4 linked regions of the Astyanax mexicanus genome follow. The protein of the gene in region 4 purifies or fractionates together with the protein of the main gene of each other region. This does not show direct contact. Links are inferred from orthologs where the notes say so. Each region holds a gene or a part of one and is shown on either strand. Other genes may lie near its edges. The genes, in order: dpm1, cad, cct8 and ilk.

Region 1 (7,903 bases), on a different chromosome or scaffold from region 4:
TAACAGTATAGTTCAGTTCAATATGAAAGCAAGATATAAAATAACCATGTAATGTAAAGTACAGGTGGACTGACCTCCCCAATGGAGTAGCCTAGTTGTCTAGCACGAACAATCATCTCCATCTGGAACACATAGCCCTTAGACACACAGCGCTCTACCAGACGCTCCAGCACATCCTTCTTATAAAGCCTGAGAAAATAAAACAATCGTTGTAAGCAACAGTACATCCTGCTGTTTACACAGAGATCAGTAATTATGATAATACCATGTTGTACCACATACCTAAAACTTCCTGTCAGATCTGATGCTCCAGGCCTCAACAGCACCTGTGTGACGAAATTTGCCCCACGGCTAGAGAGATGTAAGAGCATGGAAGAAAATGAGACCATATAATGATATTTTTAAAACTTTTAAAAGGCTAGTCTTACTCAGGCTAGTCTTACTCAGTTTTAACCTATGAGGAAGCAAATAATTCAAAGCCATGTTTTTATTATTAGCTTATAACAGAAAGAACTAAACTAATGTTCCTAACAGAGACGGTAACCCATCTAATCTTTGCTTAAAAGTGAGTATCAGGATTATATCTGGAAGAGGCCAAGCCAAGCCCAAGTTTAAATGCACCCAATAGTTATTTTAAAGTGTTTTAAAGCATAACAGTACCAAGTTTTCTGATTGAAGATAGTGAAGTTCTAGTTTTAGCTTCAGTGTCTAAATAAGGGTCTGTCATTAAAGCTTTTTAAAATAATTAATCATTTTTGAAACATTTCAAACATGTTTTGGCTACTCAGCTTCAATATGGTTAATAGGCAACATGGTTTAACAAATATTTAAGGGAGGGCACAAAACAGAGTGGTGTAGGACACAGGTTATTAATTAGTTACCTAATGAGCTTTCGCCGCAGGTCCCATCCATACACACCGCCATCTCCTCTGTACCGTGTTCCAGACACTAGATCATATCCTCCTTCTTTCTGTTTCCTACACAACAACAAAAAAATTCCAGTGGTCAGCACAGAAATACAGAAACACACAAAAAAACAATTGGAATACAGGTCAAACTAGTTCAGTAATAGATCTCTGTATTTAAACATGCATAACGTTACAGTAGTTTTTACTTACTTGATAAATTCTGGGATAAACTTGGGCTGCAGGTAAAGAAGAAATAGTTAACTTATGCACTGCCTAAAACAATTAAAAAAGATATCAGATAATAAAGAACAATAAGAAAATAGCAGCAATTATTTAGTTACATGATGAGAAAGATCTGCATCCATAATAATAATGAAGTTCCCAGTGGCATGCTTAATGCCATGGATGTATGCTGTTCCTGAAAAACATAATTGAAAGAAAAAACACAATTTAGTTTTCTCTCCAGACCTCAAACCCACTTTTCACTTGCTACAGAAATTTAACAGAATTTAACAAATTAATCTAAATGCATGTCACACCAATAAGAAAAAGAAAAATGTATTTTGGCTCACCTAAACCCAATTTCTTTTCTCTTGGTCTCAGGACCTTCAAGAAAGAAACACACACTTTGATTAGATTCTCAGGACAGTATAAGTAATATTACATTTTCATTTTTAAAAAGCTCATACTCTACAGCAGTGAGGATTATTTAAAAACCATGTATATGTGCAATAGTGTACAATATTTGAACAGATGCATATAACTATATATGTCACAGACTGACTTATAAAAATGACCAGTGACAGTAAATCAAAAGAAAGGGTATTGTATTGTTAATTTCTGCTACAAGTATTAATGACATAAGCCCACCACACAACCCAGATATAAACTTCAACTTACAATCTTATCTTCTCCGTAAATTTTCTGTAACTGCTCTGCGATCTGGAGTGTCCCATCAGGGCTTCCATCATCGATGACTATAATCTCGTAGTTGTATCCACTGTACAAAATTAAAATGAGAGTGAAGGGCTTTAGTTTTAGGCTATAAATAGGAAACTAGGGGAATGGACTAGATTAGATTACATTATATTTATAACTACAATCATACATTATAATCCTACACTACAGCTGGACAATGTCACAATTGTGTTTAAAGTTTGTGTGTTTAAATGTGAGCACATATAGGCTCTCCAAACCGTCACTGATTAACTGAAACTTTAAACTAGACCTCAAGAAGCTTGGACTGTGTGTCTCTCCACTCTTGTTTCAGACATTGGTCCCTTGACTTACAAATGAAATACAAAATGTACTGATGATCAGTGATGGTTTAGACAGCCATGTCATCTGCTGGTGTTGGTCCACTGTGTTATATCAAGTCCAAAGTCAGTGCAGTGTTTTCCCAGAAAATGGTTTCATGCTTTCCTCTGCTGACAACTTTAATGGAGATGCAGATTTCATTTTCCAGCAGAACTTGGCACATTGCCCACACTGCCAAAAGTACCAATAGGTCTTATATGATCTAATTTTTCTGATTTTGAGACTCGGATTTTTGGGTTTTCATTGGTTGTAAGCCATAATCATCAACAACTTTCCAATAATATTCAAATTATTTGAGATGCAAATACTAACTAATATGTATTTAAAGACCTTATTCTCACAACACCCCATTGTAAATTTATCTCAGGTTTCTCCACAATTCATCTAATAATAATTGTATACTCTCAATGACTATGTTTTTATGTTAAATCTCAAAGTGTGAAGTATGCAGAAGTCGAAATAATAATGGATATAGAGTTTTATTAGCTGTGTTTTAGCTGAGGAGTGTAAACAGCACTTCAGTGACAGCTCATCTTTATCTGGCAGCTCTGAGCCGGCTAGCATTAGCATTAGCTCTGTTTCCACCTCCTATTAACACTCACCTTTCCCCAAAGTACTTCACCAGCAGCCAAACGATCAGGGGCAGGTTCTCCCGCTCGTTGTAGGTCGGTAACAGGACGGAGTATTTATCAGCCTCCTCTCTGTTCTTCTTCTTACTCTTAGATCCTGCCATGTTGGGCAGAACTACACGGCGGATGTGCGCGCGGACAGCTGCCCGGTGAAACCCGCGCTCCCGCTTTTAGTTCCTACACTCAGTCCAGGGCTGAGTTCCGGGACAGCTGTAGCTGAGAACAGACTACTAAACAATTTCTGAATCAGACAAGCCTGTGTAGTTATCTGCTTAATGTGATTTTGGAAGTTATAGGAAATTAATATTACTGTTCTTTTTGAACCGGCCATCTAAACCCACTCAACAGAATAGGGAAGTTTATGAATGATGCAAGAGAAATAGTACTATTCTACAGTGGAGTTTTTACAGATTTACAGATTCTCTTTCTTTTGTCATACTGCATTTTTAACATTATCAAACTAACTTTAATATCCAACAAATATAACCTCAGTAAATATAAAAAAGTATTTTCTAAATTCTAATTTTATTTATTAAGGAAAAGTTATCCAAAACAATCCAGCTCTTTGTGAAAAATTGTTTGCCCCCCCCCCCCCCCCCCATAAATTAACTGTGATTATTCACACATTGTGGAAAGCTGAGTTCAGTTTCACTAACCACACCCAGGCCTCATTACTGTCTGACAAAATGAAGCTGGATAAAAGATCTCAATCTGAAAAAAATCTAATACAGACCACAGTGAGAGCTATTGTTCACTAATGGATAAAACATGGTCCAATGTCGAACCCTCCTAGGAGTGGCCGTCCGGCCAACTGAAATTACTCCAAAAGGACATGGACGACTCATCCAGGAGGTCACAAAAGAACACAGAACAACATTTAAAGAACTGCAGGTCTCACTGGCCTTAGTTAAGGTCAGTGTTAATGATTCAATAATAGGAAAAAGACTGGACAAAAATGGTCTCCATGGGAGTTCCAAGGCAAAAAACACTGCTGACCAAAAAGAACACAGGGGCCGATCTCACACTTGCCAAAAAAAACATCTTGAATATCCTCAGGACTTGGGTAAATATTCCTTCAGTGGCTGAAGGAAAACAATTCTGGAAAGAAGAGCGAGCCACAATTTCTTTACAGATATGTGAAAGACTCATTGCCAATTATTGGTAAAGCTTGACTGCATATTTTTTTTGTATGTACAGTGCTAAATCTTTTTACCTATGATTCTGAGTTGTCTTAATGAGTGAAATCTATTCAGAGTGATGTTAATTAACAGTGCAACACGGAAAAACAGTAGGCCTATTGTAAAAAAAACTATATGTTAAGAATGGAGCTCCAAATGAAGTCTATTGCCGACAAATTTGGGGACCTCACACCTGTCTACCTTTTTTTACGATCAGAGTTTGATTTGTAACTTTGCTATATTGTGATTATAAAGCCATAGCTTTATATAAAATAATATATAACATTAATAAAAGTAGGCCTACGTCACAGACAGTTTTCTTTAGCCCCACCCGACAGGATCCAAGGAAAGCGGTGGGATATGTCGACCTGAGTTTGGGTTGGGTATCAGGCCACGCTCGGGCAGCTCTGGTCTAAAATAAATTAATTATTTTAAATAGTTCTTAACAGCGTCTATTTTAATATCTCTGATAACATTTACTCTATTCTCATGTATTCACTTTCATATACAGAACAGAACAGGTCTATATACATTTCTGTTACATATTTATATCAGGAAAATGTGTTGACACAGGCAAATGTGATATGAAAAAAAAAACATTTTATTAATTTCTTTTAAATATAATTTGTTTTTTTTTATAGGTACATAACTAATTACCTGTGCTCTCCCTCTCTCTTTATCTCACACACAAACACATGCACACACAAACAAATGTGGTTTATAAAAGCTTAGACATATAAAAAACACAACAGTCAGTAATTCAGTTTTAGACATTTAAATACAGTAAATGTAATAAAGTGTTAATTGTAACACAAGAATTCAATGTGCAGATTCAAACAGAACAGGCATTATGCTTATGAAGGACAGCAAGACATTACAATATGATCACAGTGTATTTTCTTTCATCACATTTTTATACAGTAAATGTCAGTTTTGGAGGCAGTAAATCAGGGAAACCAAAGAAGTGGTAGTATGCCTTCAACATATTAAAAAATATATATATAAATACAACACAATAAACCACAGCATTGATAAAATTGCTTTAAAAACATTCTCAGTGCGAAATTGTCATTATTTAGTAAACAGATGCTCTTTTCACAACAAAAATGGCTATATTCCCCTTTAAATGTAAATGAAATGACGAGGGACCCTTCTTTATTGTAATATCGAAATTAATACATCACAAAATGAGTCCTGCTTAAGACTCTAGTGATTCATGGAACTGGACAGTATAATTAGACATAAAACAAAAATAAAAGAAGTGAAAAAAATTACTGACACATAATGAAGGGCAACCAGAGTTCCTGGAGAATTAAAAGATGAAGATAAGCTGGAAGTCTGATGTCGTTTACATCAGCTGTGTCACACAGTGAGCGGGATTTTAAAACATGTCCTTTGCATGCCAGCCCATTTTTCCTCTATTCCACCCAGTAGTGCCCCTTTTACTTCTTCTGGGAGAGAGCAAGCACTCAGGATTCAGGACTCAGTGTTTAACTGATCGGCAAAACAGTTCTCTCAATGTTATTCCAATCAAGGCTGGTATCCGAAGTATGGATCCTCTGTAAAGTCATTAAAGATGTAATGAGAAAACGCATTATTCACAGTAGGACATGTGATGATGTATAGGAAGCCTTTTTATGTACCTGCTAGAGGGTCTCCTCGATGGCAGCCACTACTGTCACACGCTCCAGGGGGCCCCATCTCACCTGGCTGACCCACCAGCCCAGGAAGACCAGGAGCACCTTGATTACCATCGTCACCTCTAGGCCCTTGCATCCCTACCTTTGCTTCTCCAGGGGGTCCTTTTGTATTACACACAAACAGAATCAAACAGTGGTTGTTAAGGGGCAAACAAAGTATGAAGGAGTCAATACCCGAACTGTATTAACTAATGTCTTTAAATAGATCATAAAACCAAAACATTTATAGATCTATATTCACATTAGATACCTGCAAAACCCTTTGATCCTTGTGGACCTTGAACGTTAATCCCTGGAGCTCCTTTAGCTCCAGATGCACCTCTTCTTCCTGAGGATTTAAAGCAGAATTAGGAATCTGGGGAAGAAAAGTGTTTCTAACATAGACTGTAAAAAGTATTGATGATAGAAATATGCGATGCTAAGTGTTTTTCCCAGCTGGATTACTCGCTAACCACTAGCGGTTAGCCGCTAATGCCACCGGACAGAGCTAGAATAAGGAACCCTGAGTGATCCGGTAAGGCAGGGCGATATTACTAATATACGCACAACTCGCTTTTTTAACACAGTAAACTTCCAGGCTTCAGTTCAATATACTCACCTCTGAACAACGAAGGAGCTAGTGCTGTGGTTAGCGGCTAATGCTAATGCTGCTCTGGCAGTGCTAGTTAGGGATGCCAGCAGGCTACAGGCCAATAATACTCACCTCTGAATGGCCAATGAGCTAGCACGGTAAGGAGCTAATGCTAACGTTGCTGAAAAACTAAGCGAAGTGGCTTTCCAGCTCCTTACAACCTGAGCAGTAAAATTCATACATAAGGCGCACCAGAGTATAAGGTGCACTGATGATCTTTGGGGAAAGTAAAGGATTTTAGGTGCACCTTATAGTCCAAAAAATACGGTAAATGTTACTGCACATGTTAAATAGTGTATATGTGTATTATATTCATAGTTTTCTCTACTCTCAGTTAGGCTCGGAAACACTAGCATGTAGCTGCCAGCTAACAAAAAATGTGTATTAAAATCAAATCATCATTACTGAAACATCTTTTATAGGGATATATTTTGATTCTGCATTATTGTCCAGCCCAATTTAAGCACGTTGTACATATACTATTAAACTAGTGGTCAAATAGTGTCTATAAAAACTAGTTTACTAACATTACATGCATTATCTTTGCAGCCTCATCTCTAATGTGTTGTGTAAAGAGACAAATTCTGCACATTTTGATTTATCACTTATTTTAATGTTGAATAATCATCTTTATAAAGTTATATAATGTCTCACCCTGCTCGCCAGGGTATCCTGGTTTTCCTGATTCTCCTCGGTCTCCCTGCCGTCCCGGTGGGCCTCTGGGCCCAGGGGGTCCTTTCCCTCCTGGGATTCCAGGCTCACCTGGAGGCCCGACTGGCTCCTGGATGGGCACGGGGTTCCGACTGATCTCATTTAGGAAGGCGTCTATCTTTAGCACTTCATCTAAAGCACAGTGACATAACATACGAACACTGTAAGAACTAGCATGAACTGTAAGAGTTCTGATCTAAGCATCACTATAAATGCTATATGGATCATATTAACTTTGTAACCTCTGACATAAAGACACAAAAAATGTGAAGAAAAGACAGTGTGAGGTCATCACATACTGTGCACTAGCTTCTCACAGGCCTGTGTGACGAGCTGGTAAATGATGGCAAGAGACTGTGGCTCTCCCTGTAAAACAAAGTACAATAAAACAATCTCACAAAACACAATCAAATGTTTATTTTTTAATATACAATGGTGCCATGCACAACAGCTTTAACTCACCTTCTCTCCTCTCTCTCCTTTACTTCCAGGAAGCCCCTAAAAAAAAGAGATGGACATTATTAATTACAAGATTACATACTACAAATTGAGAACGCCATGACTGTGATAAAACATTATGAAATGCCTATTAATTAATATAATATTCCTGCCAGCAGTATGAATATGTATTAAGCCATACAGTTTATCTAATCAACGTTATAATCTATACCATGGTATACTTTATTTACTCACTGTCGGCCCGACAGATCCAAGTGGCCCCCTCTCTCCGGCTGGCCCTGGGTGGCCAGGCATTCCCTGGAAACCCTATGAGAAACAGATACCAGAAAGATTCAACAGAAGGCAATGTTCTCTATGTCACTCTATGCAA
Region 2 (7,832 bases), on a different chromosome or scaffold from region 4:
GTGAAGACAAGCAAAAGCTCACTCTTTGTACAAATTATTTTAAATTTGTATAACAAAATCAAATTTAATTCATATGATTTTTCTAAATACAAATAATCTTTGTATGAACTAATAATTTTACATTTATTACAAATAGTTGCTCACCACAAACATCCAGAGGGTAATCCCAGGGCACCAATGTGACCTGCGCACCTCGCTGGCATAGGCAGCGGATCTGATTGTACTTAATACCACAGTCCACTGCTAGGATCCTTAAATTACCATCTGGATTGTAAACCCTGGGCTTCTGGAAAAAAGCAAATTTACAGAGCTTTCAGTAATGAATCTGGAGTGATGATTGTGGACAAAGTACAAAAATCAAGACCCTGAGTAAAAGTAGAAATTCCCCAAGTACTCTTTAAAACTCTTATTGAGTAAAAGTACAAAAGTATTTGCACTGAAATGTACCAAAAGTAAATAAATCATGATTTATTATAGCCCTTATGTCCTATGATCATAATGTAACAAGACTCCTCCTTAATCAACTTTTTTAGTTGCAAAGACAGCAATAATTTAATAGAATGTCATGATCAGTCAGACACGGATGTCTATTAAGATTTATTTGCTACTTTATTACTATACTACTTTTTAGGGATCAACTGGCTTTGGGTCACATAGATTCCTTACTATACTTTCTATATACAGCCCATATATTAAATGATTTAATGTAGGAACATGTATTTCCAAATGTTCAAACTGTTTTATAAAATGTTAATCCGTATAGGCAGCTATGTCCAAAAAGGCAAAACTATGCTGCACCCTGAATTGGGTCACTTGCTTCATGATTCTTTTGTTTTGGCATTCTGTATTTTCACAAAATGTAATGACATTCTATAATGTAGTGTAGTATAAAGTAAAATACTCAAGTTTGAAATGTACTGTGGTAAAAGGGAGGGAAAACAAATCAATGCTGATAATTTATGAAAAGGGTATACTGCAAATATTATTTGTCAATCCATACTTTTACGGACACTTCTTTCACCAAGTTCCGACTGTCAGGATTGTCAAACAGGATGTTCTCCGCAGGTGTCCCTTCAACCACAAGTTTTCCAAGCATGGTTCCCTTTTCTCTGATCTTCTTAGTCAAACAACGGGTGTCAACTCCTATTTTGCAAAAACATCAACAGCATGTAGAACATGGCAAGCAGGTTATAAAAAAAGCAGAGGGGCCAGACCTGCTTACTCCACTTAACATCACAATACATAGAAATCCACTATTGCAGAATAAATTAAAGCTATATTATGAGTATAACCTGCTTTTAGAGGAAAAGTCAGGAGCAGTCCAAATTTATTGATTCAATTCAATAGATAACTGAATAGCAGAGTAGAGTTCTGTTATGTAAATTAGCTTCTCTAACTTTATACATGTAAATATTAATGTTATTAGAAATTCAACATTCAAACCATGTTGCTTAATACTGATCTGGGTTTAATATAGTACAGTTACTAAAAGGCGCAGAGTGTCAGGGTAAAGGGATGCATGTATGTTCTTCAAGAAAACTTATTATCTTACCCTCTAGTCCTGGGATGCCTTGCTCTTTGAGCCACTGATCTAGAGATTTGACTGAACTCCAATGACTGGGATTCTGAGAAAGTTCACCAACAATAAGCGCAGTGGCGTGGATCCTAGAAGACTCAAACCACTACAGAGAAAAATGTTGAAAGAGTTAAATTGCTATTTGACAAGCAATTTGCCATAATTTAAAAATATGCAAATTATTATTCACCTTGCTGATGCCAAATTCACCATCCTCGTCACTGGGCACACCATAGTTCCCGATTAGTGGGTAGGTTAAAGTCAATATCTGAGATTTATATGAAGGGTCAGTAAGTGCTTCTGGATAGCCAACCATTCCTGTCTGGAAAACTGAAAAGGTGTAAAGACAGTTAATGTTAAAGATGATCACACTTTTTGTCCTACATGCATTCCTGCTTACTCAACAGATGTTTTAATAGAAAGCGTCATAAGTGAATTTAAAATTAAATGGGACGGACATTAGGTCTGTGCGCATTCTTATAAAACGTTTCGTACCTTAGCTAGAACACCTTTACACTGGACTTAGTTTCTTACAATATAACCAGAGTGGAAAACACTGTAAACAGAAACAGCTGGACTTATTTTATAACCACACTGGACCTGCCACAAACATCTAAAGAGTCGCGAGTTCAGGCTGGTCAGCTGTTTAGCTATATAAACTGATAAATAAAGCGTGGAAATACTGGATTTACTCATCATGTATGTTGCAAGATCATCTACTCTGATCTACAGATGTAAGAGTGCTGGTTATTTCTCTGGTCTCTAGGTATGGGGACAGGCTGTAGCTCAGCGGATGAGCGCGTCTGCTCGTCTTTCAACAATCCGGCGCGAAGGAAGGACACGTGGAGCTCAGTAAGAGCCCTCAGGCTAGCTACGCAGTTAGCATCGCTGCTGCTGCTTCTATCCTCACACTACAGCCGTTTTAGTGTGACAAGGGGCCACGACCGGAGTAAATCCGGCTATCAGGCCCCTCTGTAAACACGGTGTTCCGCCAAGCAACCAGCGACTTACCAACTTCACCAGATACCGAGGCACTGGCCCCGAACAGGCGGCCTTTAAACGTGGTTCCGTCTTCTAGGACCAAAGATGCCATTTTCGCCGACATATTTACAGCTAGTTAAAGCCTGGACACAGAGCGCTCAGCAGATGGGGTACTCTGGTGGTGGAGCAGAGTTTTTTTAACTGCCACGGCGTCGACTTTTCTCCTCTTTCGTGGAGACGATAGACCCACGTGATAATCGGTATGTGTGCGGCGGAGCGCTTTCAGCACACAGGAGGAGGAGGAGGTCACGACTGTGGACGAGTAGAGTCTTACGAAACTGTTCTCCTTTCCCGATGTCTGTAAAGAATAACGTGAAGCAGCAGCCCGAGTCCACACCGCCCTGTCCGGAGCCACAGCAGCGTGGAAACCCGCCGCCCCAGCGCAGCGCCTTAAATCTAGAGCCCAGCTCCGCGACACTCCGCCCCGGGGGAGGGGCGAAGAAAGACAGGCCCGGTAGTGATTTTTCATTCAGGAAAGAGCTGATTCTTTTCTGTTTCAACACAGTATCTTCAGATAACAACACAACAATATCTACTGGTTTCAACACTCAGTACACAGCTGTGCGAAAAAGCACTGCAGAAGCAACTGTTTTTATTCACCAATAGAACAGTCCACTCATACATTTGGTTTGGTTTGGTTTAGGATTATGAAAAAAAAATCCACAGATACGCGTCCACGGGTTTAAAATGCCCATAAACCTTTAGACAAAGACAACAATAGTTGTACACAATGAGTGTAATGAGTGTTCATTTCACAACAGGAGTACAAAATACAATTTTAGCTTTGTGTTAATGATGTTATTTTTTTTTTCTGAGCATGTGCTTCTTGACTCCGGTAAAGTTGGTTTCATATTCGCATATTCGGATTTCTTTCTTCAATAGCTTTTGAACTGTGTGTGCAAAATGGTTAATACTTGCTTATTTTATATGCTGACATCCAAAGCAAGCAGCTACAACGTCTTTCCCCTCTCAAACATCTGCCTTTAGAAAACCACAGAACACATTGTCGTCTATGGGCTGCCGCGACCTGCACGAGAGCTAAGGGACCGTCTACAAACTACTCGACACAGCAAAAAGGCGAATGAAGATGGGCGGGGCAAATGCTTTATGCTTCATTATATGAAAGTGTAGTGTACTTTAGTGTTTTTAGCTGGTCACAAATGACAAGACTTCAGGAGTTCCTGACAATATTTTTTTATAATAATTGTTTTGTTAAAAACAATCTAAAAATATAAAGGTTACACTCATTTTTTGTTCAATTTGTAACTGTTTTTAAAAAACCTTTTTAAAAAATATTTCATAAAGTATTTCATTCTGATTTTGTGACAAAGTTTCAACTGAGTATATATTTTATCAAATAATCACTTGTAGCCCATTTTGCAAGTCTTACTGTCATTTGACCTGCAGTTCAACAGAGGGCTTTCAGGGTTTCTTTTTCTGTTTTACTGTTGATAGTAATACTGTCATTGGTGGGTAGTAACCATTGGTTTGTTTAATTTTAGTTGAGTATACAGAACCGTAATTAAACCATGTAAGAATTGTCAAATGATAGTATTAAAAGGTTTACATTCTATTGTGACTACTTCTGAAATAAATATTATGAAATATAACTAATACCTCTTCACTTGCACAATTGTTTCAGCAGGTGGCACCAAAGTTGGACAATTATAAATGTTACTGTCTAAATATTTGAGTTGTATTTTTAACTAATTTTTGTTTAATGTTATTTTTTTTCTTCTAATAAATTTTTTATTTATCTGTTTCTTGCTGAATCTTTGTTGTAACAATATCAATTACTTCCAATACCTTGTTTACTTTGAAAAGCTCTTAGTGTTTTGCAAATGAGCCTTTATGTAAACCAAAGCAAAAATTTCTTGATGAAATCTAACGGTTGCTGAAAATACTGACTAGGTGTGGACTGCACACATCAAGTTATATCAAGTCTAACCAACATGACATACTACAACTATGATATTGGTCAATTTAACCATTGCTGATTTGTAGCAACAGTTTTTTGTGAATTAATTTCAATAGCTTTTGAACCGTTGAGGGTATCACAACAGAACAAGTTGTATTAGATCAAGTCCCACCCACATGACATACTACAACTCTGATATTGGTCAATTTAACCCTTGCTGATTTGTAGCAACAGGTTTTTTGTGAATTAATTTCAATAGCTTTTGAACCGTTGAGGGTATCACAACAGAACAAGTTGTATTAGATCAAGTCCCACCCACATGACATACTACAACTCTGATATTGGTCAATTTAACCCTTGCTGATTTGTAGCAACAGGTTTTTTGTGAATTAATTTCAATAGCTTTTGAACCGTTGAGGGTATCACAACAGAACAAGTTGTATTAGATCAAGTCCCACCCACATGACATACTACAACTCTGATATTGGTCAATTTAACCCTTGCTGATTTGTAGCAAAAGGTTTTTGTGAATTAATTTCAATAGCTTTTGAACCGTTGAGGGTATCACAACAGAACAAGTTGTATTAGATCAAGTCCCACCCACGTGACATACTACAACTCTGATATTGGTCAAATTAACCCTTGCTGATTTGTTGCAACAGGTTTTTTGTGAATTAATTTCAATAGCTTTTGAACCGTTGAGGGTATCACAACAGAACAAGTTGTATTAGATCAAGTCCCACCCACGTGACATACTACAACTCTGATATTGGTCAATTTAACCCTTGCTGATTTGTAGCAAAAGGTTTTTGTGAATTAATTTCAATAGCTTTTGAACCGTTGAGGGTATCACAACAGAACAAGTTGTATTAGATCAAGTCCCACCCACGTGACATACTACAACTCTGATATTGGTCAAATTAACCCTTGCTGATTTGTTGCAACAGGTTTTTTGTGAATTAATTTCAATAGCTTTTGAACCGTTGAGGGTATCACAACAGAACAAGTTGTATTAGATCAAGTCCCACCCATATGACATACTACAACTCTGATATTGGTCAATTTAACCCTTGCTGATTTGTAGCAACAGTTTTTTGTGAATTAATTTCAATAGCTTTTGAACCGTTGAGGGTATCACAACAGAACAAGTTGTATTAGATCAAGTCCCACCCACATGACATACTACAACTCTGATATTGGTCAATTTAACCCTTGCTGATTTGTAGCAACAGGTTTTTTGTGAATTAATTTCAATAGCTTTTGAACCGTTGAGGGTATCACAACAGAACAAGTTGTATTAGATCAAGTCCCACCCATATGACATACTACAACTCTGATATTGGTCAATTTAACCCTTGCTGATTTGTAGCAACAGTTTTTTGTTAATTAATTTTAATAGCTTTTGAACCGTTAAGGTTATTGATACAGAACAAGTTGTATTAGATCAAGTCCCACCCACATGACATACTACAACTCTGATATTGGTCAAATTAATCCTTGTTCTGTTGTGATACCCTCAACGGTTCAAAAGCTATTGAAATTAATTCACAAAAAACCTGTTGCTACAAATCAGCAAGGGTTAAATTGACCAATATCAGAGTTGTAGTATGTCATGTGGGTGGGACTTGATCTAATACAACTTGTTCTGTTGTGATACCCTCAACGGTTCAAAAGCTATTGAAATTAATTCACAAAAAACCTGTTGCTACAAATCAGCAAGGGTTAATTTGACCAATATCAGAGTTGTAGTATGTCATGTGGGTGGGACTTGATCTAATACAACTTGTTCTGTTGTGATACCCTCAACGGTTCAAAAGCTATTGAAATTAATTCACAAAAAACTGTTGCTACAAATCAGCAAGGGTTAAATTGACCAATATCAGAGTTGTAGTATGTCATATGGGTGGGACTTGATCTAATACAACTTGTTCTGTTGTGATACCCTCAACGGTTCAAAAGCTATTGAAATTAATTCACAAAAAACTGTTGCTACAAATCAGCAAGGGTTAAATTGACCAATATCAGAGTTGTAGTATGTCATATGGGTGGGACTTGATCTAATACAACTTGTTCTGTTGTGATACCCTCAACGGTTCAAAAGCTATTGAAATTAATTCACAAAAAACCTGTTGCAACAAATCAGCAAGGGTTAATTTGACCAATATCAGAGTTGTAGTATGTCACGTGGGTGGGACTTGATCTAATACAACTTGTTCTGTTGTGATACCCTCAACGGTTCAAAAGCTATTGAAATTAATTCACAAAAACCTTTTGCTACAAATCAGCAAGGGTTAAATTGACCAATATCAGAGTTGTAGTATGTCACGTGGGTGGGACTTGATCTAATACAACTTGTTCTGTTGTGATACCCTCAACGGTTCAAAAGCTATTGAAATTAATTCACAAAAAACTGTTGCTACAAATCAGCAAGGGTTAAATTGACCAATATCAGAGTTGTAGTATGTCATATGGGCGGGACTTGATCTAATACAACTTGTTCTGTTGTGATACCCTCAACGGTTCAAAAGCTATTGAAATTAATTCACAAAAAACCTGTTGCTACAAATCAGCAAGGGTTAATTTGACCAATATCAGAGTTGTAGTATGTCACGTGGGTGGGACTTGATCTAATACAACTTGTTCTGTTGTGATACCCTCAACGGTTCAAAAGCTATTGAAATTAATTCACAAAAACCTTTTGCTACAAATCAGCAAGGGTTAAATTGACCAATATCAGAGTTGTAGTATGTCATGTGGGTGGGACTTGATCTAATACAACTTGTTCTGTTGTGATACCCTCAACGGTTCAAAAGCTATTGAAATTAATTCACAAAAAACTGTTGCTACAAATCAGCAATGGTTAAATTGACCAATATCATAGTTGTAGTATGTCATGTTGGTTAGACTTGATATAACTTGATGTGTGCAGTCCACACCTAGTCAGTATTTTCAGCAACCGTTAGATTTCATCAAGAAATTTTTGCTTTGGTTTACATAAAGGCTCATTTGCAAAACACTAAGAGCTTTTCAAAGTAAACAAGGTATTGGAAGTAATTGATATTGTTACAACAAAGATTCAGCAAGAAACAGATAAATAAAAAATTTATTAGAAGAAAAAAAATAACATTAAACAAAAATTAGTTAAAAATACAACTCAAATATTTAGACATTAACATTTATAATTGTCCAACTTTGGTGCCACCTGCTGAAACAATTGTGCAAGTGAAGAGGTATTAGTTATATTTCATAATATTTATTTCAGAAGTAGTCACAATAGAATGTAAACCTTTTAATACT
Region 3 (7,753 bases), about 790 kb from region 4:
GAAAACACAGGTTTGTCATCACCACATTTAGGGATTTTTTTACACCTAAGAGCAAGGTCACTGTGTGCATCACATAGTATAGGTTTGGTCCAGTATGTATTCATTAAGCGCCTTAAAAAAATGTTTGATTCATACTGTTGAGATCCCCCACCTATGTGTTTGTAACAGAACTAATTCATGTCCTTTTTTGTTCATCAATAATGATTTACAGTTACAGTCGGTAAAGTAATCGCCAGAGTAATCCTCTCTGCCTATACTGCAGCATGATGTATGTGAACGTAAGGGGGAGTCAGATTTAATCACAGCACGAATTCTTTATCTTCTTCTGTTGTTGCTATTATTAAGTGGCCGACAACGGTCTGCCTTAACTTCCTGCATTGTGACATGGGAAAGGAGGCTTAACGCTAGGACACTGCCATGGGGATATATGTGGTAAGAAGTCAAAAAATCCAATAAACCCAAGACACTGCTTTTACAATGCAAATGAACCAGTCTATGGTTCTATTGACCTGGACTGAAGCCACCTTTTTTTGGTCTTTAGGCATTGAATAGTGGTTTGTTGCACCTTTCAGATCAATTTGGTTCAGACGAGACGAAGACTAAACAAAGAATGTGGGAATGCAACGCTTAGGATTAGGTGATTCTTTTTCTGCTCGATTGGCCCATCACAGATATTGATCTTGGGTGGGGCCAAATGCCACAATAATGCCACATAGATGCTAGGAAACTTGGTACAGCTCAGACAGTCCGTGATTACCCGTAAAGAACTGCACTGTGGAGCTCAGGGTGAAAAAAAGAGAAAATTGTTTTCGTGCTTATCTCAACTGTGTTAGGTGGAGAGCTAGCTCTGCTACTCATTGATTGGGCTGAAAGATGTACTGAGAAGAGTGGTATTATGTGGATAGTGGGGTTAAAACATTTATTTTCTTTCCACCACAAGGTACATTAGTTCCAAACATGAGCTGCAAGGAACAGCAAAAACTCTCCAGACTGAGCTGAACCCTTAGCATGGTCTGTAGCACTAAGTGGCTGCTGACGAGTGAGTCAAGAACACAGGCTTCCTTAAATGAGTATCTTCAGCTTCCTGACACCGAGCAGCTTCAACGGGGATCCACACAGGACTGCTTAACTTAACTGTTTAATCAGCTAAATCAAAGGAATATCAGTAGATTTTAAGTCTCAAGAACAAAACTCACCTCAAGCTCTCTTAGAATGGTGGCTGCGTCATTGGTTACAAACAGTTTCTCCAAGTGGTTGATGACCATTTTGTTCATTCCTAAAATAATACATAAGAATAAGAAAAGAAAAAATTGAAATCAGTTATACAAAGCAGTTCAATTTCCCAATGAAGCTTAGCATCTTGATTAAGGTAAACACTTTTTACCATTAGGTCCGTATGCAGTTCTTGTGGTCTGTGCCAGCTCCTTGCATGCCTGGATATTTCTGAAAACGGCTTCCTCGAGACCTGAATAATGCTGAATAGAGAAGCCAAAGACAGAGTTTTTTCAGCACATATTACAAATTTGTACAAAGAAAAATGACACAATTACTGAATTCAAATCTGCTGTGATTATAATTAACCAATAAAAGCAAAATTTTGATGACAAGTTGAAATTCAATTAACAGCGAATTAATGTTTTTTTTTCCCTCACATGACTTAAAAATTTAAGAATAAATCCTGCTGTAACAAACGAAACAATTACAATTTCATAACTTACATTTTAATGACGAGTTATATAGAGCATAAAACACTTAAAGATTTTAAATGGAACACCTTTGTAAATCAATTTAACAGAAGGTACAGCACTATCCCAGCACATCCACATTCTGTAAATAAAGCCAGATTAATAAAACACACAATCACGCACTGTCCTGTAGTTATGCTCTCAGTGATGGAAAGAACTTTACACAGCATTTGAAGGGTCTGTGATACATGTCACCATAAACTCTGTTGAAATGAGTTTAGTTCATTAGTTAAAATTAGTTATTTCTCTGTGGTATTTATTTTATTTAGGAGAACAATTTTAAGCACTGATTTAAAGTGAGAAAATTAAATATCTAAATATATTTTATTAGATATTGATGCACATACACATATTTCATTATTGTATTTTCTGTAATCATCCAAAAAGTGTTTTTTTTTTTTTTTTTTGCACTAGGGCAACACCATGCCATAGAGGGTTAAGATAAAGTCAAATCTTGACTGATAACATTGATCTGCCACATTAACTAACCTACATGTGCTTAGCTGCTTTGATCTTGGCATCAATATGTTTATGGCAAAAGGGTGGGTCTCTACACTGAACATTTAGCTAGCTGAACCTTTTAAAACAATAAACTATAAAATTAACATTATGAATACAAAAAAAAGTTCAACACACTGCCTTTAAAATGTAACTAACGTTAGATTAGTAAGCTGGTTGGTGTTAATGGACATTTCTGTCACTGGGCTAATCGGCTCTTAACAGTAGCTAACCTAGCTTAGCTAGGCTAAGTTAGATAGCAGCTGAATAAAAAAGCTTAGTTTATGGCTAATACGATAATAAATACTGGTGGTTGTTATTATTATTATTGTATTCGGGACTCTGTCCCGGTCACTGCAATAAACAGAGCTCACTTGTCACAAATTACCCAAATAAGGGCAGATTTTTGGGTAAAGCGCTCAGTAAACTAAGGGAGTCTGGAGCTCATGTTCTAGAATCCTCCACCCACATGATCCGTATTTCGGCACGCTGTGCTAAGCTATGCTAAGCTAGGCTACGCTAGGCTAACTACCGGCGGCGTTGCCGTTGCCGCTGCCGCTCCCGCCCCGATAATCACTCCGCTCAGCCTCTATTTCAGCCGGTAAACCCACCTTAGCGCCGTCCTTCAACATCTGGGCGAAGCCCGGCGCTTTGGGGACGTGGAGGGCCATGCTGAGAGTCTGAGAGCCCCGCGGAGGCTGAACTGATGGAGATAATGAGAGCCGCTGCAGCACAACCCGAACAGCGTGCGGCTAAGAAAGACAGGACGAGGGTCGATCACCGATAGAGGGAGGCTCAGAAATACAGGAGGACTAATCGAGCTACGAATCAATCTAACTAGCCAAACTACCGGCCTCTGTCAACAGTCTTTACAGTTGTTTTCTGTCTGGATTGATTTACCAGACATACAAAGTTAGCAAAATTATATATTTTTGTTTTAATTTGGACTTGGACAACCCCCATCCAAAATAATAATAATAATAATAATACTATTTGATTCTCGATAGGTAGAAGTACAGAAACTAGGGTTTAAAATACTTCTGTAGAATTTGCACTATTCTACAACTAAAGCGTTTTACTCAAGTAAAGGTGTAAAAGTACTGGTTTCAAAACTATTTAAAGTATAAAAGTAAAAGTAATGTAAGGGGGAAAATGCCATTAAGGGCAAAAGCTTAGGCTGTGCCACAGGGTCCTATAGTGCACTACCCCCCTCCCCAAAATAAAGTTTTCCTAAAAGCCATAATAACTATGATGTTATGTTAAAAATGGTAATGTAAGAACGTTTGGGATGCTAAATTCACTCTATCCAGATAAAAAAGGTTTTTTATTTAACAATTAAAACAAGCTTAAATGTAATAGCAATAACACAGCTATTCTTAGTAGAACTTAATTGTAATTGTAATTGTGTAATAAGGTAAGAATTGGAAGTAAAAAGACGCCTGAAAAGTTTTTAGTCAAGTAATGTATCGTGAAGTTTATTGTAATTCATCACTGAGGGAGATTGTGCACCCCCTGGTGGCCAATAAAAGAACTGCTCACTGGAAACAAGAAAACCACAGAACAACAGCAGCTGCTGCAATAAGAAGGAAGATTATGATGAGGAGTTGTAACAGTGATAGAGCAAAAAAAAATAAATAAATAAATTTAAAAAGCCACAGCAGCTTATAGATCCTATATGTACAGACTGTGTGGTCTATGGATGAATGGTATATTTTAAAACTTAATTTAACTTTTTTAGGTTGTGTAATTTGTGTAATATATGAACACTGTGTCACACCAATTATTGTATATACAGCTGTACAAAAAAAAGAGATCTCTCCAATCTTTTCCTTAAGTCAGCATCGCTACACATATGAAAGCCATTTCATTACAGTCATTCCATCAAGCTGAGCTTATAGAATTTATGTTCTAGGAACAACATTATATCAACCAATAGTAATGTGAAAGTCTGTCAGAGTACATGATGTCCATACATGTGAGCTGTGATTAGTGTTTATTAAATCCTCTCAAAATCAAAACATTTGTGTTGTGTTGTTCATATAGGAATATTTCTTTGCATTATTTGATTTCTGAAAAAAAAGTTGTTGTAATTTGTACAAATAAATGTTCTAAATACAATTTGTTTACAATAAATCTAAATTGTTTTAAATGCTCAAAATTAAAAAATGTCCATTCTGCTCAAACGCATGCCAATAAATAGTATTAATGCACTGAAATGAACTTTTTATCTAAAACTGTACAAAATTAAACAATAAAAAAAATCAAATGTTGTTTTGTTTTAGGTTTTTATTCAGTTTGCCTTTTTTTGTTTTTTACCATTGTATGGTATTCATAACAGTTTTTGCTACTTACCATCTTCAGTACAAGAAGCCAACTAAACAGGACCACATTAAATAAAAGCCATATTGAGACACAGAAATGAATGAATGTAGAGATTGTGTATTTCAGCTGAAAACAGACATTTGAGAAAAGGTAGCAAACTGACTAAACTGATACCAAGCATGATAACTGATTTATTTTATATGAGTAGAGTGTACAAATGAACTTGAACCTGCCGTTTATTTGCTCCCTATCTACATTACATTACATTACATTTGGCAGACGCTTTTGTCCAAAGCGACTTACAATATTGAAGTGCAAATAATAGAAGAGGTTAAGTACAAAAATAATAGAAGTTAAAAATAAAGCATCTATAGATAGGGCCTTAAGGAGGTCAGAGGGAAATAATAGGATAGAGGAGTGAAGGAGAGGAAGAAGGAGCTGAGGTTAGAATTAGTTAGTTTGTTAGAGGTGTTAGGAGAGTAAGTGCTCTTTGAAGAGCTCTGTCTTCAGGAGTTTATTAAAGATAGTGAGAGATTCTCCTGATCTGGTAGTAGAAGGTAGTTTGTTCCACCATTGGGGAACTCTGTATGAGAACAGTCTGGATTGCTTTGTGTGAATGTTTGGCAAAGCGAGGCGACGTTCATTGGAGGAGCGCAGCGGCCGGGAGGTAGCGTAGGCCTTCAGGAGCGAGTACAGGTAGGAAGGAGCCTGTACTGTCATCACCTTGTAGGCGATTGTAAGCACTTTGAATTTGATGCGAGCAGCAACCGGTAGCCAGTGGAGCTCAATGAGCAGCGGAGTGACATGTGCCCGTTTTGGCTGGTTGAAGACCAAACGTGCTGCTGCGTTCTGAATCATCTGTAGTGGTTTTACTACGCAGGCCGGGAGGCCAGTTAGTACGGCATTGCAGTAGTCGAGGCGTGAGATTACCACAGCTTGTACCAGGAGTTGGGTGGCCTGTTGCGTCAGAAACGGTCGAATTTTTCCGATGTTGTAAAGCGCAAAGCGGCAGGATCGAGCAACTGAGGCCACATGGTGCGTGAAGAGAAGCTGGTCATCAACCATGACACCCAGGTTCCTAGCAACCTTTGTCGGTGAGAGAGAGAGAGAGTCGATGGTTATGGCAAAGTTGTGTTGAATAGAAGGTTTTGCTGGTATGACCAGAAGTTCAGTCTTTGAGATATCAGGTGAAGGTGATGCTCCTTCATCCATGAGGATATGTCTGAGAGACACTGTGATATCCGTGCAGAGATTGAGTGATCTTCAGGTAAGAATGACAGGTATAGCTGAGTGTCGTCGGCAAAGCAGTGGTAGGAAAAACCATGTGAGCGGATAACCCGACCTAGAGAGGTGGTGTATATTGAGAAGAGAAGAGGTCCCAGTACCGAACCCTGGGGAACCCCAGTGGGTAACGAGTGGGCTGGGGACAGCCGTCCTTGCCATGACACCCTGAACGAGCGCCCAGTGAGGTACGATCTGAACCATGACAGCGCATTGTCTGAGATCCCCATGTTCGAGAGTATAGTTAGGAGGAAGTCATGGTTGACTGTGTCGAAAGCAGCCGAGAGGTCCAGCAGAATGAGCACTGAGGACTGTCCTGCAGCTCTAGCAGTTTTTAACGCTTCTGTCACAGACAACAGAGCCGTCTCAGTAGAGTGCCCTTTCTTGAAACCAGATTGGTTCTGGTCCAGGAGGTCATTTTGGGTGAGGAAGCCAGAGACTTGATTGAGAGCTGCTCTTTCTAATGTTTTAGAACATTACTTTCTTCCATGCTCCCTGCAGGCCATAAGCGAAATCTGTTCAGAATGGTGTTCATGAACAGTGCAACAGGGAAAAATCATAGGCCTGTTATAGGAAATAGTAATAGTTACAGTAAAGGCTGGTTTATTCTGGTTATACAAGTTTTAGTCACTTGCAGAGTGTATATAAGGTGCCTGTACTTCAATTGTGGACGAGTGGAGGAGCTTGTGATATACTATATCACGCTAATGCTGGGCGGTATGACCAAAAATGTATATCACAGTATTTTCATGGTATATCACGGTATTTTTATTTATTTATTTATTTTTATGCATGACTGGGACTGGGCTCAGTATACACTGTGTGCTTCTACACAGCGCCTCTAGTGGTATGGTGGTATGTGAAAAATGTATACTGGTTTTAAATTGCCGTATGGAATACCATATGAACCGGTATACTGCCCAGCACTATGCTATAGCTTTAGAAACAAAAAAGAACAGCATTAAAAAACGTAGGCCGGGTTACCAATTATTTTCTTAAACCCAACCAAGCCAGAATTCAGGTTTGGAACAGGCAGACAATTTAAACTCTAGTATAAATTATTCTGTCTCTTCACTTTTTGGCTGAATACAAAAGTGTTTTTTTTTTTTTTTTGCCTTTTTTTTTTCATTTCTTTTTCCAATAATTTTGGTGCATCCCTAAGAAAAAGTAAATAATAAATAATGATAGGTTTGGAAGAAAGAAAGAAAAAAAAGAAAGAAAGAAAGATGAGGGTCAGTTTCAGAGAGATGGCCTAATTTCAAAACACTTGCATCACTCACTTGGTGTCTGGGATACTCTGTGCTGATCTTAACGGTGGACATTTTTCTTGCCTAATGTCACTCAGAGCCCAGTTTAGTGGCGACATCTGAGGGACTCCCAGCAGGGTTAGATCCTAGTGGGCAGACACACATTCTCTCTCTCTCTCTCTCTCTCTCTCTCACACACACACACACACACACACACACACACACACACACACACACATTCTCTCCCTCTCTGTTTTACACACACATTCTCTCTCTCTCTCTCTCTCTCTTACACACACACACACACACATACAGCAACCCTCAAACACTGACTCTTCTGCTGAAGAGCTGCCGATATGATTCATTTGTTGTTGTGTTTTGGTGTTTATGGAAAGAGGCTTATCTAAATCTTTTAAACTTAAAACTTTTTTTTTCAAGAAGTTTCTCAGAAATACATTTCCAAAGCCAGGTAAGACTTATTTTACCTCAGAATAAGACAATAAGATAAAAGATTCATTTGTTAGCCACTATTGTAAAAGGGTGTTTGCAAGCTCTAGGCTATGCCAGCTAATTAAATTATTAGTTTGACACTCTCACACATTATTTTGCATTATTCTGTATATATATATTTCTATATAGCTGTTTGCTATAACTAACATA
Region 4 (7,912 bases):
ATATTTTAAGAATGTTTATGGACATCATGAGGCATCATATACAACCATTCAACCCTATTCCTTATCACAAGGTGGGGTTATGTGGTACACACTTTCTACACACTCTACCTTCAGACCTCCTTACAAAGCCACTCCCCAAACCGCAGGAACATGCAGAGCTCATGAGCGCATACGAGAGATGTACAGGACATTTAGGGAAAAAAATTTAAAAGAACCCAGCAGCTTAAAATCCTCTCAAAACATGAACCACATTTTATAGCAGATCTTCTTGATACCAAATTTTGTAGGAAACTAAAGAACAAAATATTTACATATATGTAGACCTAACCCACACTGGAAACAGGAGACATCACACCTGACATCATTCCAAACTGAGGCTATTATGTCTTAATCTGTTGAGTTAAACAACACTGCTCAACCTCAATCCCTCACAATCAGATAAAACAACACTGAAAAAAGCCTGACATGAACAGACCAAGTCAAAAAAAAAGGGAGCAGCCTTCCGGAAAGATTAAAACCTGAGATAACAGTAAGAGTCAGAGGTACGCTGAAGAACTAAGGAAGGTTTCAGTTCAAAGAGGAAATACTGTCAAGATTAGTGTTGTGATTATGCAGGCTCTTAAGAACCCATTCATTACCTCAAAAATAAGCGATGACTGTATTTTGTCATAATTGTGACTCTTCACTTCAATTCCTGATAGCTGGTCAGCAGCGTTTAAGCTATAATTCATTTTTGCAGATATTTAGTGCATTCAGGAGTCAACTCACCCCTGGTTTAGGTCATTCTCAGTGTTGTCCAGCCAGAGGCGGACTGCTACGGCATTGCCCTCTCTGCACTGGGTGAAGATATCATCCATTGCAGCTCCCCCTCACTCTTCGTACTGGTAGAATCCTTCTTCCCCTACCAGGAGCGCCCTGGGAGAGGGGTGTGATGCAGTGGTACCTAGATGCCACAAGTGAAGGGCAGTGGACCATTCAGTTACGGTGCAGGCCGTCTGGAAAGGGGGAAAAGAGACTGTTAGCATAGGATACAATGGGAATATATGGCATACACTATGACTATATAATTGACATCTTAAGCACAGCCAAACATTTTTTTTTCTAATCTGTTTAGTAGAAAAGGTTGAATGACCCAGAAGTTACTGCCCCTCAGGGCTTTTAGGGTCAAGAGAACTTTAAAAATAGCTTGCTGTCCATCCAACAACTTTTAAAGTAGGAAAGCTTGGAAATCTGTTAAACACAAACATCTGACTGTATGGTCCACGGTACAGTTTTTTTTTTTCCTATAATAAACCTCAGCTCCCAGCCAATATCACTAGCCTTTCCCAAACACACATACTCATCCCTTAAGGAGTCAAAATTAGTTTCTTAATTTGAAAACTTATATTGCAAATCTCTCACACAGACTAGGGCTGTGTATTGGTAAGCACCTGATAATATGATACTGATTGTGATACAGGGGATACGATACTACATATACTGCAAAATACTGCCATACAAATGTTTAAATCAAAATTGGAAAGGAAATAAAAAACATAAAATCATATTTACTGATACTAAATACAAGAAAAGTTTACTTTTTATCAAATAAGAACACTGGGATGTATTATTGGGATGTTAATCCAATTCATTTGATTAATTAAATTACTTTTTTATAATATCACCCAGTTCTAGTGGGATCTAATGAGTGCAGCTGCTATATAGTGTTTTTTTTTTTTGTTGTTGTTGAAAACAAAATATCATGATACAATGCATTATCAATATTTTCTTACATCCCTAACACACACACACTCTCGAGTGTGTAAAGAAGACCTGCTATTCCTTAAGGAGTGCATGACTTTTCCTTGCTTTGGGACGCTCACATTCCAACACACACACATACACACATACATACACACATACATACACACACACACACACACACACACACACACACACACACACACACACACACTCTCTCTCTCTCTCTCTCTCTCTCTCTCTCGGCATCACCCCTGCTCTCTAACCTATGTGCCAATGACCGTGTAAAGAAGACCTGCCATTCCTTATTTTAAGGAATCCAAAACTTGCTTTGGGAAGCTCACATTCCAACACACACACACACACACACACACACACACACACACACACGTCTTGGCATTACTCCTGCTGTTCTACCTGTGTGCCAAGGACTGTGTAAAGACCTGCCAGTGCTCATAAACATACATTTAGCCATTTAACTCTATATGACACCAACTAACTGCAACTAACTGCACCAACTAATTAAGTTACAGACTACAGTCCAGCAGAAAACAGCTAGAAAACATTACATTCGAGTAATAAGAGACTAATAATACTTCAGAAACATGTTTTAAAGGGTGTGGACCTGAAAGTAAACAGTTTAAGCACTTTTCTGATTTAATCACACAATAAAACACTGCCTAGACATTCAGTCAGTTAGGATAACCTAGCTAACTAACAGCTATGTGTTCACTCAGGACTGGTGACGTTTTCAAAGCCAGAAAGCAGCTAGTAGTTAAAAAGAGGAGAAAACAGCAGACACAAGCCCTTTTATGGTATTTAACAAGCAAATAGTACAACCTAAATGTAATAAAATTACACTTCTTTCAATTAAAGTGTATCTTTTAATGAAAATAGCACGTTTTCCCTCACTTTACCTACTTTAGAAGAATAAACTGAGACAGCATTAGCGTTTTCACTCAGCTAGCAGACAGTTAGCTAAGCTAGTTAGCCTCTATACGCTAAGCTAGCTGGGTTAGGGTGTTAGCTAGCGAGCTAGCACCGTAAACAGGCAACTGCGGGCGGAGAGCTCACCACACCACCGTGAAACCGCCGTAAACGCTCGTATAAAATAAAATAAAAACACGGGTTTTACCTGGTAAAACTGTAATTTAGTCCGGGACGAAGCTCCAGGGATGGTAAGGGCAGTCTGACGGACACTAATGTCCACACCCTAGTCGGAGGTTGTAGGTCCTCCTCTCTCTGTGGAGGGAAGAGCTCCCTGCAGAAATCACGGTTTCATCGCCCTCTGTTGGAAACCAGCTCACAACCTGCCCTCCAGTCATATATTTTACACAGTGCCCTGGAGAAATGATTTTTTACAGTAAAGGAAATCATTATTTGATCCCTTGCTTCATTTAGTAAGTTTGCCCACTGAGAAAGAGATGAACAGTCTATATAGGGGACATTCCAGGATTTTGGTACATTTCCTGTCCCACCACTTAAATTTAAATTTACATTTCCAAAATATCTAAATGACTATTTTGTGACAAATGTACTTGTTATAAGACAAACTGTAAAATATGGTGGAAAAATAAGCTCCTTAGATATTATTCAAAAGACCGAATACCTTTGGACCACCTCAAAAAAAATGGCCGTTATCTCTTGTCCCACAGATTGGGTGACCAACTCCTTTGGCAAATTTAACAATTAAAATAAGCTCTAAATAAATGACTTCCTCTTGTATATTGTTGATATGCATCTCCTTTACTTATGAAAACAACTTCTTTGGTATAGTTTTTATGCTATTAAGTTGTGTCCCACAACATGCGCTCAACCCTGTTACCATAAGGAATTTTACCTGGCAGAGAAAGAGTTAAAAATATTTGTCTACTGGCACAAAGGAAGTGACATCACAAGGACAGTTGTGTGTGTCACCCAGTGAACGCAACCCTGTTACTCATATTGTAAGACTAATAGTGAGTAGAGTCAAAATTTACTTTATATACTTATATAACCATGTTTGTCCTTGATCTTCTATACATAGAAGATGTATGCTCCTCAGACAGACTCCGAAAGTCTTTTGTCCCTCAGGCCATAAGACTCCTCCCAGCACAGCAAACTAAAGACTCTGTGACACTTTTTCACCCTGGCAACTCATGGACACACCCTCAGCTATGGAGACACTCTCAGATTTGCTGATGCCTATAACACTATTTTTATAGTTCTACCCTATTTTGCACTAGTAGTTCATTCACTAGTTTATCCATCTACTGTCATCTACTATCTCTTTTGCACTGCTGAATTTAAATCATTATATAACTGTTTATTTGCACTTTCTGTATGGCTGACATCAGTTATCCTCACTTTATGCACATCAACTGGTGTTCACTGTCTATTGTTCAACTGCACTACCTCCATTCTACATTACAGACACACTAAAGACTGCATTTTTACATTGTACATTCTATTTTTTTATTTGACTGTATTTATATGTATCTTTATCTTTTATATATTTTATTTTGTAACTTTGTGTATTCAATTTGTAACTTTGTGTCTGCTGCTGGATGTCTAGAATTTCCCCTCGGGGATCAATAAAGTATCTATCTATCTATCTATCTATCTATCTATCTATCTATCTATCTATCTATCTATCTATCTATCTATCTATCTATCTATCTATCTATCTATCTATCTATCTATCTATCTATCTATCTATCTATCTATCTATCTATCTATCTATCTATCTATCTATCTATCGCTATATTTTACAGTTAGCATCTGTTCCTGGGGTAAACCACAACTTAGCCTAGCTTTGCAACCCTGTTACTCTAAGTTACCAAATATATTGCATAATCTAATTAAAAAAAACTGCTTTGATACCTGAGCTTGACAAATCAAACTTTTTGATAGCCTATTACCTGTATTTAATAAATATATGACTAAAAATGATCAAATTGAAGATCAAATTTTCACAAGTGACCACCTGACCACCCTGAAATGTACCAAAATCCTGGAACGTCCCATATCTTATTTAAGGGTAGGTAAGTTTTATCAGTAAGAGATGGAATATCAAAAATAAAATCTAGAAAATCACAAAGGATATAAATTATATACATTTATATAACTTCCGTTTATTTATACATCGTTAAAATGTGGTTGACATATGGTTGAAGTAATATCGTTAAAACAACATTTAATGTTAAATGGTTCGATCGTTTTCTACTTGTAGCAATAAAAGCTTTTTTGTTTGTAGTTGTACAGTTCCTACTTTTCAGAGATGTATATTCAGTATATAGAGAGACTAAAAATAAAATTGTTAATTTTTCTTCATGGCATACAGATTTTTTCTTCTTTCATACAATTTTAAGCGCCCCAAATGTGAGCTATGGTTAATTAAAGGTTGAACGTACGACATTGAAACAATGTTGGCATATTAAGAGGTGAGATTTTACATGGAGCCCCAGATCGATGTCGATTGACATCTACATTTGACTTAATATTTTATTGGGTCAATGCATTTTGTAATTATCAGTGCAAGCTTGTGAATATAGTCCGAACATTCTGACTTGAGAAAAGGTATTATAGTATTGTGTGGCCTCTGTAGGAAACTTTTTCTTGATCTCATTAGAGCATTTGAAATACTGATTAATGGCAGGCTGTAAAGAGTTTAAAAAAATGTTTAACATTTAATAAAATCTTGGTTGACCTAGAGTTTCAGACATGAATGGTTGCATTTCTACTATGAAGGAGGATTTCTACTTCATGTCCTTCTGCAACATTTCTGCTAGATTAAGGTCAGGTCTATTCCAATAGCTTTCTGGCTTGTTAATGTGAGCTTTAGCAAACTCCACACAGGCAGCAACATTCTTTTTGGATTCATGATCATTAACATTAGTCAACGTGAGAAAGGCCTTTAGTTGCTTAGAAGTTACCCAGCGTTCATTTGTGACCACACAGACTGTTACACTCCTTGTTTTTGGTGCGTTATTTGCTGGTTGATCACTCCTGGGGACGGAAATAACAATTGTCTTAAATATCTCCCATTTGTACACATTCTGTCTGCCTGTGGATTGGTGGAGCCTAAACTATTAGGAACACCAACTAATCTTTGACTCAATTGTTCTCGTTACCCATTTGGTTCTTGTTATTCTTTTTTTTTTATTTCAGGTTACATTTATGCAGATATTTAGAAAAAATGTTTCAAGCACTATTGTAACTGAATGGTACCTTACATTTCTATGCAAGTTGTTTTTATCCAGCAGTCATGACAATGACTAGCAGTGTTTTTTTTTCATAACCCTTGCTGTGCAACAGCCATTCTATTATTCCACATTCTGTTTATTATATTAGTTAACAAAATGATATAAAATTATATTTATAATTTATATTTATAATGATATAAAATCATGTTCCAAAATACCTTTACCAAGAAACAAAGAAAAGGTTACAACAAAAATTGTAAAAAAAAAAAAAAAGCACACAATGTAGTAACAGACATTTTAATAATTTATTCATTTTTCTTGAATGCATTTGAAAAATGCATGTTTTTACAGTCTTTACTTTGTATTGGCAACACAGTAAAAGGCTGCATCTTCTATTTTATCATACCGAAGATGAAGCTATTTTTTAAGCTAATTTTGCTAAATTACAGGAACACTGAAAGTTCAAACCGAAAGCAAAATTAATGGCAGTCAGAGTCATACAAGTGGCTGCCTGAACTGCTTCTACACTTTTAAAAACAGGTGTTTCTATACATTTTTGAGTCATTCCAGAGAAGAACCATGATTGTAACAGATGTGAGTGGGAAAGTTCTTTAGACTTTAATTATTTATATTATTAGGACTGCCCAAAGTTACTTTGGGACCAATAAAGTATCCAACCATCTCTATATTTTACACACAGTCTGCCACATCTCTCTAACCTAATGTTGAGAAATCTGGTACTTCTATATGTGTAGCTCAATAAATATGACCAAGAGTTTGCATCAATCTACATTAATAATTTATTGTTCCTAATAACCTGTATTTCTTTTAAATAGCATTGTAATCGGACACTTTCTTTAGGTACAATTGTTTTTATTAAGATGAGTATAATTTGCTTAGAAGTACATGATAAGATCTGTATTTTCTTTTCAAATTCTTCAATGTTTTAAAACAAAACACATCTCTAAACAATGAATCTATAGTCATGATGAACCTGTACCTGTGGATGTGCTGCTGCTGTCTAGTGTGATCTGCTTTAGAGCCAACTTGTCTATCTGGATGCCTGGCGCTATATTTGAATTTATAGAAGAACTAGTTCCCTCTGAAGATCCCAGAGTTGTTGGTTCTGTAACAAGCGATGGAACCAATGACACATTTTCAGTTTGCAGTCCTAAAGAGGGAATGGTAGTGGCTGTGCCACCGGTAGCTGGTGCTGGGACTGATGACAGATCACTTAGCATTGGCTCAGCAGCTAATGGTGGAAATGATACTGATGCAGCAGGCGTTTCTGCCGTCATCACATGTTCAGCAGAGAGCGCGGCTGAAGCTGGACCCGTTGTCGCTAAACCTCCAGCCAGCGGCTCCGCTGGTGTTCTAGCTGCCTCCTCCATTTTAGCTGCTTCTGCAGCCTTGCTCTCCATCTCCTCCATCCGTCGCTGCACCATCGCCGGCATCAGCTTCACGTAGGTGCCCATGAGGCGATGATTGGAGCGGATTAATTTGCTAGCACAGTTGTCTACACAGCGCTCCTGAAAATCAGAACAACTTGTAAGTGACTGTTCATATTTTCAGGTTCACAATTTAAAGGAAATGTAAATCAGACTGAATTTACAATAATGGCAACAGAAATAAAATAATAGATTTAAATTAGATGGTTATAAATTCATATCAACTACTTATGAAATATGAAACTACGTTTTGGACGTAATTAAAAATGTTGTGATTTATACAGTAGAAATCTGAACCTCAATTTCACATTAAGAAATGTTGTTTTTTTTTTTTTTGTTACTGTGAATAGATGACTAGTATAAACTAAACCAATCTCCCAAAAGGTAAGCCTGTCAATTTAATTTTATCAAAAATAAATCAATGTTAGCGGCTCGCCCAGTTGAATCGCAGAGCAACGCATCAACAAAAGGAATCACCTCAATCACTGTCTGCTGGCTGCTTTGGGGTGTGTCTCTTAAAAACAAATATTGGATGGTACC

The links.
Region 1: the proteins of ilk (region 4) and dpm1 purify together in Homo sapiens (affinity purification with mass spectrometry; 3 studies listed by BioGRID and IntAct, with this or other methods). This does not show direct contact. The link is inferred for Astyanax mexicanus from reciprocal best matches to the Homo sapiens genes ILK and DPM1.
Region 2: the proteins of ilk (region 4) and cad purify together in Homo sapiens (affinity purification with mass spectrometry; 4 studies listed by BioGRID and IntAct, with this or other methods). This does not show direct contact. The link is inferred for Astyanax mexicanus from reciprocal best matches to the Homo sapiens genes ILK and CAD.
Region 3: the proteins of ilk (region 4) and cct8 purify together in Homo sapiens (affinity purification with mass spectrometry; 4 studies listed by BioGRID and IntAct, with this or other methods). This does not show direct contact. The link is inferred for Astyanax mexicanus from reciprocal best matches to the Homo sapiens genes ILK and CCT8.

The regions. Positions count from the first base shown.
Region 1 is NC_064420.1:35,198,476-35,206,378, reverse strand, and holds the start of dpm1 (dolichol-phosphate mannosyltransferase subunit 1), read right to left. Parts: upstream 3,007-7,903; 5' UTR 2,959-3,006; coding exon 2,828-2,958; intron 1,909-2,827; coding exon 1,809-1,908; intron 1,515-1,808; coding exon 1,481-1,514; intron 1,327-1,480; coding exon 1,250-1,326; intron 1,145-1,249; coding exon 1,119-1,144; intron 978-1,118; coding exon 882-977; intron 352-881; coding exon 283-351; intron 190-282; coding exon 75-189; intron 1-74. Other genes in the region: collagen alpha-1(XX) chain, read right to left, coding at 5,563-5,591, 5,676-5,834, 5,983-6,060, 7,018-7,206, 7,374-7,440, 7,537-7,572, 7,768-7,839. UniProt on the Homo sapiens protein: Transfers mannose from GDP-mannose to dolichol monophosphate to form dolichol phosphate mannose (Dol-P-Man) which is the mannosyl donor in pathways leading to N-glycosylation, glycosyl phosphatidylinositol membrane anchoring, and O-mannosylation of proteins; catalytic subunit of the dolichol-phosphate mannose (DPM) synthase complex.
Region 2 is NC_064408.1:56,412,203-56,420,034, reverse strand, and holds the start of cad (CAD protein), read right to left. Parts: upstream 3,013-7,832; 5' UTR 2,682-3,012; coding exon 2,588-2,681; intron 1,907-2,587; coding exon 1,767-1,906; intron 1,683-1,766; coding exon 1,553-1,682; intron 1,144-1,552; coding exon 1,001-1,143; intron 287-1,000; coding exon 145-286; intron 1-144. UniProt on the Homo sapiens protein: Multifunctional protein that encodes the first 3 enzymatic activities of the de novo pyrimidine pathway: carbamoylphosphate synthetase (CPSase; EC 6.3.5.5), aspartate transcarbamylase (ATCase; EC 2.1.3.2) and dihydroorotase (DHOase; EC 3.5.2.3).
Region 3 is NC_064427.1:36,574,932-36,582,684, forward strand, and holds the start of cct8 (T-complex protein 1 subunit theta), read right to left. Parts: upstream 3,017-7,753; 5' UTR 2,915-3,016; coding exon 2,855-2,914; intron 1,476-2,854; coding exon 1,385-1,475; intron 1,277-1,384; coding exon 1,197-1,276; intron 1-1,196. UniProt on the Homo sapiens protein: Component of the chaperonin-containing T-complex (TRiC), a molecular chaperone complex that assists the folding of actin, tubulin and other proteins upon ATP hydrolysis.
Region 4 is NC_064427.1:35,781,421-35,789,332, forward strand, and holds the start of ilk (integrin-linked protein kinase), read right to left. Parts: upstream 3,004-7,912; 5' UTR 2,876-3,003; intron 996-2,875; 5' UTR 858-995; coding exon 769-857; intron 1-768. Other genes in the region: timm10b (mitochondrial import inner membrane translocase subunit Tim10 B), read right to left, coding at 6,908-7,453. UniProt on the Homo sapiens protein: Scaffold protein which mediates protein-protein interactions during a range of cellular events including focal adhesion assembly, cell adhesion and cell migration.